2 linked regions of the Stegostoma tigrinum genome follow. Each later gene encodes a partner of the first gene's protein in a complex. Links are inferred from orthologs where the notes say so. Each region holds a gene or a part of one and is shown in the gene's direction. Other genes may lie near its edges.

Region 1 (7,346 bases):
TCTCCCCCCGCCCCCGCCCCCGCCCCCCATCTCCCCCCACCCCCGCCCCCCATCTCCCCCCGCCCCCGCCGCCCATCTCCCCCCGCCCCCGCCCCCGCCGCCCATCTCCCCCCGCCCCCGCCGCCCATCTCCCCCCGCCCCCGCCCCCGCCGCCCATCTCCCCCCGCCCCGCCGCCCATCTCCCCCCGCCCCGCCGCCCATCTCCCCCCGCCCCGCCGCCCATCTCCCCCCACCCGCGCCGCCCATCTCCCCCCACCCCCGCCCCCGCCGCCCATCTCCCCCCACCCCCGCCGCCCATCCCCCCCCACCCCCGCCGCCCATCCCCCCCCTCCCCCGCCGCCCATCTCCCCCCACCCCCGCCCCCGCCGCCCATCTCCCCCCACCCCCGCCGCCCATCCCCCCCCACCCCCGCCGCCCATCCCCCCCCTCCCCCGCCGCCACCTCCCCCCACCCCCGCCCCCGCCGCCCATCTCCCCCCACCCCCGCCGCCCATCTCCCCCCACCCCCGCCGCCACCCCCGCCGCCCATCTCCCCCCACCCCCGCCCCCCATCTCCCCCCACCCCCGCCCCCCATCTCCCCCCACCCCCTCCGCCCATCTCCCCCCACCCCCGCCGCCCATCTTCCCCCACCCCCACCCCCGCCGCCACCCGCCACCCATCTCCCCCCACCCCCACCCCGGCGGCCCATCTCCCCCCACCCCCACCCCGGCGGCCCATCTCCCCCCACCCCCACCCCCACCCCGGCGGCCCATCTCCCCCCACCCCCACCCCCACCCCGGCGGCCCATCTCCCCCCACCCCCACCCCCACCCCGGCGGCCCATCTCCCCCCACCCCCACCCCGGCGGCCCATCTCCCCCCACCCCGGCGGCCCATCTCCCCCCACCCCCACCCCGGCCGCCCATCTCCCCCTCTTCCCGCCCCCCCCCCGGCCGCCCATCTCCCCCTCTTCCCGCCCCCCCCCGGCCGCCCATCTCCCCCCCCCCCCCCGGCCGCCCATCTCCCCCCCCGCCCCCCCCCGGCCGCCCATCTCCCCCCCCCCCCCGGCCGCCCATCTCCCCCTCTTCCCGCCCGCCCATCTCCCCCTCTTCCCGCCCCCCCCCCCCGGCCGCCCATCTCCCCCTCTTCCCGCCCCCCCCCCCCCCCGGCCGCCCATCTCCCCCTCTTCCCGCCCCCCCCCCCCGGCCGCCCATCTCCCCGCCCCCCCATCTCCCCGCCCCCCCCCCCGGCCGCCCATCTCCCCCTCTTCCCGCCCCCCCCCCCCCGGCCGCCCATCTCCCCCTCTTCCCGCCCCCCCCCCCGGCCGCCCATCTCCCCGCCCCCCCCCCCCGGCCGCCCATCTCCCCCTCTTCCCGCCCCCCCCCCCCGGCCGCCCATCTCCCCCTCTTCCCGCCCCCCCCCCCGGCCGCCCATCTCCCCGCCCCCGCCCCCCATCTCCCCCCACCCCCGCCCCCCATCTCCCCCCACCCCCGCCCCCCATCTCCCCCCTCCCCCGCCCCCACCCCCCATCACCCCCCACCCCCGCCCCCGCCCCCGCCCCCCATCACCCCCCACCCCCGCCGCCCATCTCCCCCCACCCCCGCCCCCGCCGCCCATCTCCCCCCGCCCCCGCCGCCCATCTCCCCCCGCCGCCCCCCGCCCATCTCCCACCGCCCCCCCCGCCCATCTCCCACCGCCCCCCCCGCCCATCTCCCCCCACCCCCCCCGCCGCCCATCTCCCCCCGCCCCCCCCGCCGCCCATCTCCCCCCGCCGCCGCCCATCTCCCCCCGCCCCCGTCCCCCATCTCCCCCCGCCCCCGCCCATCTCCCCCCGCCCCCGTCCCCCATCTCCCCCCGCCCCCGCCCCCCATCTCCCCCCGCCCCCGCCCCCGCCCCCCATCTCCCCCCACCCCCGCCCCCCATCTCCCCCCGCCCCCGCCGCCCATCTCCCCCCGCCCCCGCCGCCCATCTCCCCCCGCCCCGCCGCCCATCTCCCCCCGCCCCGCCGCCCATCTCCCCCCGCCCCGCCGCCCATCTCCCCCCACCCGCGCCGCCCATCTCCCCCCACCCCCGCCCCCGCCGCCCATCTCCCCCCACCCCCGCCGCCCATCCCCCCCCACCCCCGCCGCCCATCCCCCCCCTCCCCCGCCGCCCATCTCCCCCCACCCCCGCCCCCGCCGCCCATCTCCCCCCACCCCCGCCGCCCATCCCCCCCCACCCCCGCCGCCCATCCCCCCCCCTCCCCGCCGCCACCTCCCCCCACCCCCGCCCCCGCCGCCCATCTCCCCCCGCCCCGCCGCCCATCTCCCCCCGCCCCGCCGCCCATCTCCCCCCGCCCCGCCGCCCATCTCCCCCCACCCGCGCCGCCCATCTCCCCCCACCCCCGCCCCCGCCGCCCATCTCCCCCCACCCCCGCCGCCCATCCCCCCCCACCCCCGCCGCCCATCCCCCCCCTCCCCCGCCGCCCATCTCCCCCCACCCCCGCCCCCGCCGCCCATCTCCCCCACCCCCGCCGCCCATCCCCCCCCACCCCCGCCGCCCATCCCCCCCCTCCCCCGCCGCCACCTCCCCCCACCCCCGCCCCCGCCGCCCATCTCCCCCCACCCCCGCCGCCCATCTCCCCCCACCCCCGCCGCCACCCCCGCCGCCCATCTCCCCCCACCCCCGCCCCCCATCTCCCCCCACCCCCGCCCCCCATCTCCCCCCACCCCCTCCGCCCATCTCCCCCCACCCCCGCCGCCCATCTTCCCCCACCCCCACCCCCGCCGCCACCCGCCACCCATCTCCCCCCACCCCCACCCCGGCGGCCCATCTCCCCCCACCCCCACCCCGGCGGCCCATCTCCCCCCACCCCCACCCCCACCCCGGCGGCCCATCTCCCCCCACCCCCACCCCCACCCCGGCGGCCCATCTCCCCCCACCCCCACCCCGGCGGCCCATCTCCCCCCACCCCGGCGGCCCATCTCCCCCCACCCCCACCCCGGCCGCCCATCTCCCCCTCTTCCCGCCCCCCCCCGGCCGCCCATCTCCCCCTCTTCCCGCCCCCCCCCGGCCGCCCATCTCCCCGCCCCCCCCGGCCGCCCATCTCCCCCCCGCCCCCCCCCGGCCGCCCATCTCCCCCCCCCCCCCGGCCGCCCATCTCCCCCTCTTCCCGCCCGCCCATCTCCCCCTCTTCCCGCCCCCCCCCCCCGGCCGCCCATCTCCCCCTCTTCCCGCCCCCCCCCCCCCCCCGGCCGCCCATCTCCCCCTCTTCCCGCCCCCCCCCCCCGGCCGCCCATCTCCCCGCCCCCCCATCTCCCCGCCCCCCCCCCGGCCGCCCATCTCCCCCTCTTCCCGCCCCCCCCCCCGGCCGCCCATCTCCCCCTCTTCCCGCCCCCCCCCCCCGGCCGCCCATCTCCCCGCCCCCCCCCCCCCGGCCGCCCATCTCCCCGCCCCCCCCCCCCGGCCGCCCATCTCCCCCTCTCCCCGCCCCCCCCCCCCGGCCGCCCATCTCCCCCTCTTCCCGCCCCCCCCCCCCCCCGCCCCCCCATCTCCCCCTCTTCCCGCCCCCCCCCCCCCGCCCCCCCGCCCCCCCCCCGGCCGCCCATCTCCCCCTCTTCCCGCCCCCCGCCCCCTCTTCCCGCCCCCCCCCGCCCGCCCGCCCATCTCCCCCTCTTCCCGCCCCCCCCCCCGCCCGCCCGCCCATCTCCCCCTCTTCCCGCCCCCCGCCCCCCCCGCCCCCCCCCCCCGGCCGCCCATCTCCCCCTCTTCCCGCCCCCCGCCCCCCCCCGGCCGCCCATCTCCCCCTCTTCCCGCCCCCCCCCCCCGCCCCCCCCCGCCCGCCCATCTCCCCCTCTTCCCGCCCCCCCCCCCCCCCCGGCCGCCCATCTCCCCCTCTTCCCGCCCCCCCCCCCCCCGCCCCCCCATCTCCCCCTCTTCCCGCCCCGCCCCCGCCCGCCCGCCCGCCCGCCCGCCCGCCCGCCCCCCCCCCCCTCTCCCCCTCTTCCCGCCCCCCCCCCCCCTCTCCCCCTCTTCCCGCCCCCCCCCCCCCTCTCCCCCTCTTCCCGCCCCCCCCGCCGCCCATCTCCCCCTCTTCCCGCCCCCCCCCCCCCGGCCGCCCATCTCCCCCCCCCCCCCCCCCCCCCGGCCGCCCATCTCCCCCCCCCCCCCCCCCCCCGGCCGCCCATCTCCCCCCCCCCCCCCCCCCCCCCCCGGCCGCCCATCTCCCCCCCCCCCCCCCCCCCCCCCGGCCGCCCATCTCCCCCCCCCCCCCCCCCCCCGGCCGCCCATCTCCCCCTCTTCCCCGCAAACCGCTTCCTTTCCCCGCCCCTGCGCGGTGATGGCAATTTATTCTAAATCGCCGTCGCCCGGGCAACCACAGTGACAGGCCTGACGAGCCGATGCGGCTGCCTCGATCGTTCGAGCTGCCGGCGTTCGATGGGTCGTGTCCGAGAGTCCAAGGAGCCGGCGGGCGTCGGGGGCACAACATGGCGGCTCGGGAGTGAGGGGCCGAGCGGCGGCGGCGGCGGCTCCGGGAGCAGTGCTGTCAGTTGGCTGGGCCGGGGAGTGATGGTGGTGATATGAAGGAGGGAGGGAGGGAGAGAGAGAGAGAGACGGAGTCCCAGAATAAGGCCATGCCGACCCGCCGCGCTTGAAGGACAGAGTTGGTGGGGGGGGGGGCCGGTTGGGTATTAGCTGTTTTATTTTAACAGTATTTTGAGGCCGGGATGTGCGACGCTTACGGCAGGGCCTTGCTGCGGGTGGCGGTGGCTCAGATCTGCCAGGCTCTGGGATGGGACTCGGTGCAGGTCACGGCCTGCGACATCCTCACCGACGTGCTCAACAGGTACATCGAGCAGCTGACCCGGGGCTGCCATCGTTACAGCGAGCTGTGTGAGTACCTGAGACCCTGTGATCTCCATCCATCGGGCACAGACACAACCTCACTCATTACAGCACACACAGTCTTCACCCAAACAGCCTGTCTCTGAACAGCCAGCCCGCGTTCTACACTTGTAGGCCTCTAGCTCCCTGGACTTCAGAAGATGGAGAGGCGGTCCAGGCGAAAACATATTGTTCCCAAAGGGGTACCTTGACAGGTTGGGTGCTGAGATGACTTTTCCCCACGCCCTCTGGTTGTTCGCCCTCCCCCTTCAGATTCCCTGCAGCCCCAAATATCGGCTGTGTCTTAGGGTCTGGAGGAGGGTTCACCGGGAAAGGTTTGAGAATCTTTGGAATTCTCTTCCCCCTCCCACACAGCCAGGGATGCTCTGTCAATTGAAGGCTGACATTAATGGATCTTTCGAGTATTACGGGATATTGGGATAGTGTGGGAGGACACAGGCCAGAAAGGAAATCAGCCCAGATCATCCTGAATAATGGAGTTGGCTCGAAGGGCCAAGTGGCCTGTTTCAGTCTCTCTTTCTAACATTTTCACCAAGCCTGGATGTTCCTGTTTGTAGCGCTTGTTGTTTACAATTGACAAGCTTCATGGATTTTGAGATTTCAGCTGATACCTCCAATCTGACTGAGCACGTTATTATCAGGAAAAGCTCGGCAGCTCTGGCAGCATCTGTGGAGGAGAAAACAGAGTTAACATTTCGGGTCCAGTGACCCTTAGAACCGTTCTGAGGAAGAGTCACTGGACCCACAACGTTAACTTTTTTTTTCCTACAGATGTTGCCAGACCTGCTGAGCTTTTCCAGCAGCTTTGTTTTTGTTTCTGATTTAGAGCATCTGCAGTTTTTTAAAAAATATGTTATTTTTTAGTGTTAGCAGCTGAACATCCCTGTAAAGTAAACATTGATTAATACTAACTTAATTTTTTTGTCTTCGGCATTGCCATTTAAGTGAAGTGGAGTTTAAATGATGGAGTACAAAATAAGCAGTAAGCTTCCACTGTTTTGAGCACTTAGTACCTGCCAAAAGCTTCCTTTATTTCCTTGACCAATAGTGTACATTGCTTGATATCCAAGATGGCCTTGAATTGTTTGTACTTTTACTTTCATTATTTCACTTTTGAATGACTCCTACTGTTGAAATGTAGACTAGCCTAGAAGTAGTTGCTGCCAGTCCTATTTGGTCAGAAGGGTTCTGAAGAAGGGTCACCAGACCTAAAATTTTAACGCTTTTCTCCTCCACAGATGCCACCAGACCTGCTGAGCTTTTCCAGCAACTTTGTTTTTTGTTCCTATTTGGTCAGATCCTGTCTTATGTTAAAGTCAGCCTTCCCTCAGTTCATAACTTTTACTTCTGGGCCATCTTTATCATTTTTCACAACAACCTTAAATTTCACTGAGGTATGGTCACTATCACCAAAGTGCTCTGCTACTCACACGTGCTTGGATATTCTCCCTAAAATTAAGTTGAGAACTGCCCGCTTTTAAAAAATATCCTGGTACATTTTAAGAATTCTGTTCCCTCTAAGCCTTTCACACTTTGTCTATCGCAGGTAATATAGGAAAGCTTGAAATTGCCTTTTACTGTGCCCTATTATTTTACACTTCTTGAGATTTAGCCGATATATGTATTCTTTTGGTAGTCCTTTACTGTTTGAGGGTGTATAGTACACTCCCAGAAATGTGATTTCCCTTCTTTAAGTTCTGCCCATGTGGTCTTATTTGAGGAACCTTCTAAGATATCATCCCTCCTTATTACAGTAATGACAAGTAATTGACTCCTTGATTAGTGTTATGACTACTCTTATGCTCTCAACTAGCCTGACGATTCTATACTCCAGAATATTGAGCTGTCTGTCCTGCCCCCCTCACAACCATACCTCAGTGTTAAGAACGAGAGCATATTTCTATATATTAATCAATCATCCTCACCTCACCTGCCTTATTTGCAAAATTCATTGCATTAAAATAAATGCCATCCAGCCTTGTGCTCCTTTGTGCCTTAACTTTACTATATATGTGTGTGTGTCTTACAGACTGGATTTTTCCTTTGTATTTGACTGTATATCACCCACTGGGCAATTTACAATCCCCAGCCACTCATTCACCTACCCACCACACCACACAGATATCGGTCCAGTTTCTGGGTCCGGTGGAAGCCATTGGACTAGTACAGGTCCCACCTTCCCTGGAAATAGACCCACTCATCGCGGAATCTAAAGATTCTAGACTTGCACCAATTCTTTTAGCCACCCATTTAACGGTGAGATCTGCCTATTCCTATGCTCACTAACACGTGGAACCAGATGTAATCCAGCGGTTGCAACCATTAAGGACCTGTTTGTCAATCTATAACGTAGCTACCTAGATTGTTGTTGTAGAACTTCATCCCTCTTTTTACCTGTCGTTCGTATCTATATAAACTTCAACTTCTGACTGTCACCTTCTCCCTTCAGATTCCATCCAGCCATTCAGTGACCTCCTTGATCCTG
Region 2 (7,559 bases), on another chromosome or scaffold:
TGACTCCCTTGTTCGTTCCACACTGCCCTCCAACCCCACCACACCCGGCACCTTCCCCTGCAACCGCAGGAAATGCTACACTTGTCCCCACACCTCCTCCCTCACCCCTATCCCAGGCCCCATGGTGACTTTCCATATTAAGCAGAGGTTCACCTGCACATCTGCCAATGTGGTATACTGTATCCATTTTATCCGGTGTGGCTTTCTCTACATTGGGGAAACCAAGCGGAGGCTTGGGGACCGCTTTGCAGAACACCTCCGCTCGGTTCGCAATAAAAACTGCACCTCCCAGTCGTGAACCATTTCCACTCCCCCTCCCATTCTTTAGATGACATGTCCATCCTGGGCCTCCTGCAGTGCCACAATGATGCCACCCGAAGGTTGCAGGAACAGCAACTCATATTCCGCTTGGGAACCCTGCAGCCCAATGGTATCAATGTGGACTTCACCAGCTTCAAAATCTCCCCTTCCCCCACCACATCCCAAAACCAGCCCAGTCCGTCCCCTCCCCCCACTGCATCCCAAAACCAGCCCAGTTCTTCCCCTCCACCCACTGCACCACACAACAGGCCCAGCTCTTCCCCTACCCCCACTGCATCCCAAAACCAGTCCAACCTGTCTCTGCCTCCCTAACCTGTTCTCCCTCTCACCCATCCCTTCCTCCCACCCCAAACCGCACCTCCATTTCCCACCTACCTCCACATCCCACCTCCTTGACCTGTCCGTCTTCCCTGGACTGACCTATCCCCTCCCTACCTATACTCTCCTCTCCACCTATCTTATTTTCTCTCCATCTTCGGTCCGCCTCCCCCTCTCTCCCTATTTATTCCAGAACCCTCACCCCATCCCCCTCTCTGATGAAGGGTCTAGGCCCGAAACGTCAGCTTTTGTGCTCCTGAGATGCTGCTGGGCCTGCTGTGTTCATCCAGCCTCACATTTTATTATCTTCTATTAATTAATCTACTCCCATGTGGCAGCATTTGGCCCATATCGCTCTCAGCCTTTCCTAAGCACGTACCCTCCAGATGCCTTTTAAATGTTGTAATTTTACACACCGTCAATTCCCAACAGAGAATAAACAAGAGAAGGCCAGGACATTCAGCCCATCATGGCTGTGCCAGCCCACTGCAACTGCAGATCAACTAGTGCCACCCTCTACGTCGTAGTTTCTTTCTCCCACAGAAGAGGGGCATAATTTTACTTTGGAAAGCCGGGAATAAGGTGGCATACCCATCCCATACAAGGCTGGGAGACGTTAAAGGGAGACACCAGCTGCTCATTGGACTCCAGTCTCTCCCCGCCGTGGGCCGCCGCCATCTTGGATACCTGGTTGCCATGGGCGACCAGGTAGGTCCTTATTAACCCCCACCTCCCGCCGTGGTTCCTCCCCCCCCCCCAAAACACATGGGGGCTGTCCTCCGTGGCGCCCGGAGGAGCCGATGCGCGGGGCCTGAGATGTCCGTCCACTTTTCCCTCCGCTTTACCTTCGCACTTCGTGGGCAGCCTATCCCCTTCTTCCTCCTCCGCTGCCGCGCTATCAGCGAGCAGCGGAATAAAGAGCAAGAACGACAGCCGCAACATCACCTTCCCCGTGCCGGCGCGAGTTGGCAGGCGGCAGCCAATCACACGAGCCCGCCCCCCCACGTGACGCCCGCACCGGCCAATCAAACAGACGCATGTGCGGACGTTGCCACGACGCCAGCCTATCGCAGAGAAACTCCCACCACCCACGTGGGATTTCGCCCAGTAGCCTTTCGTTTCGGCCTCGATTCCCCCCCCTCCAAACTTTCAGCCAATCATAGTGTTCACGGCCCACGTGGTGACCCGGCCCATTCGGCCAGTCGCGCTGATGCCCCGGTGCACGTGACAACGGTACCAACCAGTCAGGCGCGACCTCCTTCCGCATGCCGAGCCCCTTCATGATATCCCCGCCCTAAGTGTTGTCAGACCCCACGTGGGACGCCACCACTTCGGCAATTCAGAGGGGTAAACATAAACGGGGCCTTCGAGGCCACAGCCAATCACGCCGCCTTCCACGCCCCGAACACGGCCACGTGTCGGGATAAGCACCGCCCAGTCGCCCCACCCAAGCTCCCATTGGCTGCTGCTCCAATTTAAACCTCCCGCCTCGTGACGGTGGTAGCAGTATCGCTATGTCCAGACCCTGAAGTGGCGTTTGTTGGCCACTGCAGAGAAGGGTGAAGCTATCTCTGAGCAGATCGATAAGGCGCTATAGAAAACTGGCTCCATCCAGCGTTCATCATTCTTTGTGGCCTTGGTAAAGAAACAAGAGCCTGCACTGACATTCATAATGATCACAGCTGACTGTCCCAATCCTTATGCCAACATTTGCCATGATCCTATTAACTTGGTGCTGTCTGTTAGCTTAGTTGGGTGAATGGCTGGTATCTAGCACAGAATATTGGGCTAAATTCAATTATTTCTTGTAATGGCCAATGAGGTTCAGCCGGGACCCCCTTAGCTAGGTTTCTAGCTGCTTCCCCAGCCTGGAGACTGCCCTGGGCACCCCTCTGCACCCTTCTTTGAGACAGGCAGCATGGTGGCTCAGTGGTTAGCGCTGCTGTATCACAGCCGTAGAGACCCTGGTTTGATTTCACACTCTGATAATGTCATGTATGAGGAGTTTCCTCCTATGTCCAAAAATTAGCAGACTAGGGTGGGTTGGCCATAAGACATAGGAGTGGAAGTAAGGCCATTCGGCCCATCACGTCCACTCTGCCATTTAAATCAAGGCTGATGGGCATTTCAACACCACTTCCCTGCACTCTCCACATAGCCCTTGATTCCTTTTGAGATCAAGAATTTGTCGATCTCTGCCTTGAAGGCATCCAACGTCCCGGCCTCCACTGCACTCTGCGGCAATGAATTCCACAAGCAAATGCCATGCTAAATTGCCCTGTAATGTCCAGGGAAGTGCAGGCTATCCTCGGTGGATTAGCCATGGGAAATGCAGGGTTACATGGATAGGGCAGCAGGATGGGTCTGGATAGCGGTACTTGCAGACGGTCGATGTGGACTCAACAGGCACGAATAGTGTGTGATAACACGATGTGAAGCCAGATGAACGCAGCTGGCCAAGCGGCATCAGAGGAGCAGGAAAGTTTGATGTTTTGGGTCAAGACCCTTCTTTGGAAAGCTTTCCTGCTCCTCTGATGCTGCTTGGCCTGCCGTGTTCATCCAGCTACTATCTCTGTAATGAATAGTGCGTTTCCATGCTGTCAGGATTTTACAACATCCCATGTGGGCTAATGGCTAATTTGAGGAGTGTGACGGATTTTTAATAAGTAACGGGTGAGCAGGGCAGGAAAGTGGAGTTGAGATCATCCATGATTGTGGCCTGAGTTCCACTTTCCTATTGTGACCTCATAATCTCCGCGCTTGGAGTATTGCGTACAGTTCTGGTCACCGCATTATAAGAAGGATGTGGAAGCTTTGGAAAGGGTGCAGAGGAGATTTACTAGGATGTTGCCTGGTATGGAGGGAATGTCTTACAAGGAAAGGCTGAAGGACTTGAGGCTGTTTTCATTAGAGAGAAGAAGGTTGAGAGGTGACTTAATTGAAACATATAAAATAATCAGAGGGTTAGATAGGGTGGATAGGGAGAGCCTTTTTCCTAGGATGGTGACGGCGAGCACAAGGGGGCATAGCTTTAAATTGAGGGGTGAAAGATATAGGATCGATGTTAGAGGTAGTTTCTTTACTCAGAGTAGTAAGGGAATGGAACGCTTTGCCTGCAACGGTAGTAGATTCGCCAACTTTAGGTACATTGAAGTCATCATTGGATAAGCATATGGACGTACGTGGAGTATTGTAGGTTAGATGGGCTTGAGATCGGTATGACAGGTCGGCACAACATCGAGGGCCGAAGGGCCTGTACTGTGCTGTTATGTTCTATATGTATATATATGATTGTTGTGAGTGTCAGAACATGCATGGAAGGGCTGAATGGCCTCATCAGCATTCCAACTGCGAGAGTAAACGAATTATGGGACCATACAGGATTGGAATATTTCACCATGGGAGGGGAGCGGTTAGGATGGAGTTCTGAGGAAGGGTTGCTGGACCTGAAACGTTAACTCTCCTATTTGTTTCTTCCACAGATGCTGCCAGACCAGCTGAGCTTTTCTAGCAACTTTGTTTTTGTTCCTGATTTACAGCATCCGCGGTTTTTTTCATAGTTAGTATTTAATGCATGTTTCAGTATGAGGAGTGCAAATGAAGTCAGCGTGCCAGGAGCCTCCACTTGCAGATACGAGTAGCCAAGGTGCACTATATTAAATCTAAACGTTGAAAAATTGTAACACCACCAAAGTCTCGCTCTCCGCATCCGGAGCGGGAGTGAGGAGAAGCCGCGCGCGTCGATGGTATAAGAAGCATCACGTGTGCGGGGGTGGCGGAGAATCGGCCAATCGGCAAAGGGATCGCGGGCGAGGGGGTATGCGACGTCAGGGGCGCGCCTGAGCCAATCGGCGACGTAGCAGCGGGAAGAGCGGGTGGGCGGCCAGTCACGTGGCACCTCAGCCAATGGGAGGGCAGGTCGGCACCGGCGGTGTCACGTGGTCGCTGGACCAGGCCTGGTCCTGAGGATCCCGGGACGGAGAGGGAGAGAGAGCCGGAGGCTGGCCTCAGCCGCACGGGGGGAGCGGGAGATACAGAGCGAGAGTTAGATCGGCCCGGACCCCGGGGGGGAGGGAGAGAGAGAGAGAGAGAGAGAGGGAGAGAGAGCGAGCGCGCCCGCGGGGCGCCGCCTGGAGCCGGGACTCGGGAGGACACGACCAAGATGGCGCCTGGTGGCGGGGTCAGAGCCTGAGAGACACGGAGGGAGAAGGGGAGGGGGACGGAGGGACCCAAACAAGTGTGTGTTAGGGTAGAGAGGGAGGGGGGGCCTGCTGCTCCCCCCCTCAGCCCCAGCCCCAGCCCCAGCAGCAGCAGATCCACTGGGTGAGTGAGAGGGAGGGACGGGGAGCTTATGACCCAGACCATCAGCAACAACATCCTACTCACTCAAGCTCCCCCCTCCTCGCCCTAACCCCACCAATGATATCCCTCCCTCCCTCAAGGTCGTTTTCCTTCCCCCCCCACCCCCCCCCCCCCCGCTGGGATCCCCAATCCCCCCTTCACACTGCATCGAGATCCCCTTCTCTCCACCGTGGAGATCCGTCTCCCTTTCCATCCAACTGTCCCTCCTCCCGTGCCACGTTCCGTCCTCCAACAGTATTATAATAATTAAAAAGACACACGTATACACACACACACGTATATACATACACGCACATGTATATACATACACATATATACACACATATATATACGCACACGCATGTATATGCACGCACATGTATATACGCATGTATATACAGACACGTATACACATACATACACACATATATATACACACACGCATATATATATACACACACGCATATATATATATATATACATATATACACACACGCATATATACACACACACACACACAAAATGCTGCAGACTCTGGAAATCGACAAACAAACAAATTGCTGGAGAAGCTCAGCAGGGCCTGGCAGTGACTGTGGAGAAAGCAATGGAGTTAACGTCTATTCTCTTTCTCCGAACCCCCAACTCTTTTCTCCCCCCCCGCCGCCCCGAAACTTCCAAGCTAATCATCCCATGGGGAGAGGGGATCTGGGCAAAGTGATACGGAGGTAACCGTGAATAATCCCTACCTATCTGCATTCCTGGAGGGGTCCACGTATTGTCTAATCTTTGACAGCGGTCTTATGGTGAAACTTTGAATCATTACTCCTTGGAGTGTAGATGAGTTTATTGCAGCAGAGGGTGGTGGATGCTGAAATTATATCCCCCCCCCCCCTTTTTGTGTAGGAGAATTGAGAGCTCGTTTAAAGATTTGGGGGTTTCCATCGACGGTGCGGGTGAAAGGTGTTTCTTCTGAGCACCATTTTTAGGCCACAAAACCCGTCTGGTTCACTGTTGTTCAGGGGAGAAAATCTGGCGTCCCTAGCCGGTCTGGCCTACATGTGACTCCAGGCCCACGGCGAAGTGGCTGACTCCTAACTGAAATTGTCTAGCAAGACGTTTGATTGAACTGCCAATAGAGGTGGCACCATAAATCCTGGCTTTGCCAGCAGCGCCCATATAACCAAATAATTCTTTATTCATTTTGTCCTGCCCCCTGGACTGTACAAAAGCGAGGGATGCCGGTTCAAAGTGGGTGCCGGAAACGAGAGCCTGCAGGGCTTCTCAATTGGCGGGTCGAGACAGGAGGAGAGCTGATCATCATTCATCTTCCTCCCCCAGAAGTGTTTAAACATACTCCACACAGGTTAGCTGATCGTTTTGGGTGGAACTAGTGCAAAAATGTCAGAGCTATAGTATCAGCTGCCACTCTTTGGGTTATAGGAACGCTACGAGGGCATGAGAAAGGTCTCCTGCTGCACGGTTTGGATCTGTTGGTTTGCCCCGAAGTGCATCTGGATTAATTTTTTCCTTCCATTCGGTTGTTTTCCGTAGGGTGTATGATGGGAGGTAAGCATGGCCGATGAGAAAAAAGTGAAGATCAGCAATACGCTGCTTCCCACCGAGTCAATGAAGGTGATCGCTGAGTCCATAGGGATTTCCCAGCTCTCCGAGGAAACGTGCCAAAGCTTGACTGAGGAGGTCAGCTATAGGATCAAAGAGCTGGCACAGGTAAACCTCCCCGACTGTTCCTTGTGTGTGTGCGCACGTGTTTTCGCCTTGTTTACAGTCAGCTGTAGAATTGTACAACACGGAGGAGACCCTTTGTGTCTGTACTACCAAAAGCACCCTGTGACCTATACTGGCCCCGCTTTCCCACGCTAGGCCCATAGTCTTGGATGTTGTCAAGTGCTCTTCCAAGTACAGCAAGCTGTATTTTTAACCAGCATCTTGTGACTAGGTACTAAATAAACCAGCAAAACTTGTGTACTTCAAATATTATAAAGTTTATTGTCTAATTATTAGTTTTTAATAGTTATTTACCTTAATGTAAACATACATGTCCAATCGAATGGCCACATGAAATATCAACAGTTAATTCAATTTTGAGTCAGTTTGTCCTCAAATACTGTGATGTCTGCAAAGTCAGTTGGGTGCATGAGTGAGAAGGCGAGGTCATGTGATTAGTTAAGTTAATTTAAGCTATAAATGAAGTATAACGGTGATGTGTACACTCCCGGCGTTACGTTTCTGTTATTTAGTGTCTGTTTTTACATTGATGTGAACCTCTTGATTACCCGCAATAATTGATCAATCAGGATACTCCTGGTGCCATAGGTATCGGATTATAGAAAGTCTGCTGTACCTTTTGAAATATTGTGAGGTTTTGCAGCTCCAGGCAGTGCATTCCAGACCCCCACCACCCTCTGGGTGAAAAAGGTTATCCTCAAATCCCCTCTTAAGCCTTGTGCTTTTCACTTTAAGTCTTGCCTCTGCCTTGTGTGGGTAAATAATGTGCCATACAACGTCTGTCTTTCTGTGCAGGCTGATGTGTCTCCATGATATTTCTGTGTGGTCCCTGT

The links. The genes of interacting proteins can lie anywhere in the genome.
Region 2: taf3 (region 1) and taf6 share a complex: the UniProt entries of both Homo sapiens proteins name them as parts of the TFIID basal transcription factor complex. The link is inferred for Stegostoma tigrinum from reciprocal best matches to the Homo sapiens genes TAF3 and TAF6.

The regions. Positions count from the first base shown.
Region 1 is NC_081378.1:7,658,552-7,665,897, forward strand, and holds the start of taf3 (transcription initiation factor TFIID subunit 3), read left to right. Parts: upstream 1-4,340; 5' UTR 4,341-4,683; coding exon 4,684-4,849; intron 4,850-7,346. UniProt on the Homo sapiens protein: The TFIID basal transcription factor complex plays a major role in the initiation of RNA polymerase II (Pol II)-dependent transcription.
Region 2 is NC_081398.1:4,625,856-4,633,414, forward strand, and holds the start of taf6 (transcription initiation factor TFIID subunit 6), read left to right. Parts: upstream 1-4,546; 5' UTR 4,547-4,962; intron 4,963-5,174; exon of another isoform or gene 5,175-6,343; intron 6,344-6,531; 5' UTR 6,532-6,552; coding exon 6,553-6,708; intron 6,709-7,559. Other genes in the region: cnpy4 (protein canopy 4), read right to left, coding at 1,485-1,581. UniProt on the Homo sapiens protein: The TFIID basal transcription factor complex plays a major role in the initiation of RNA polymerase II (Pol II)-dependent transcription.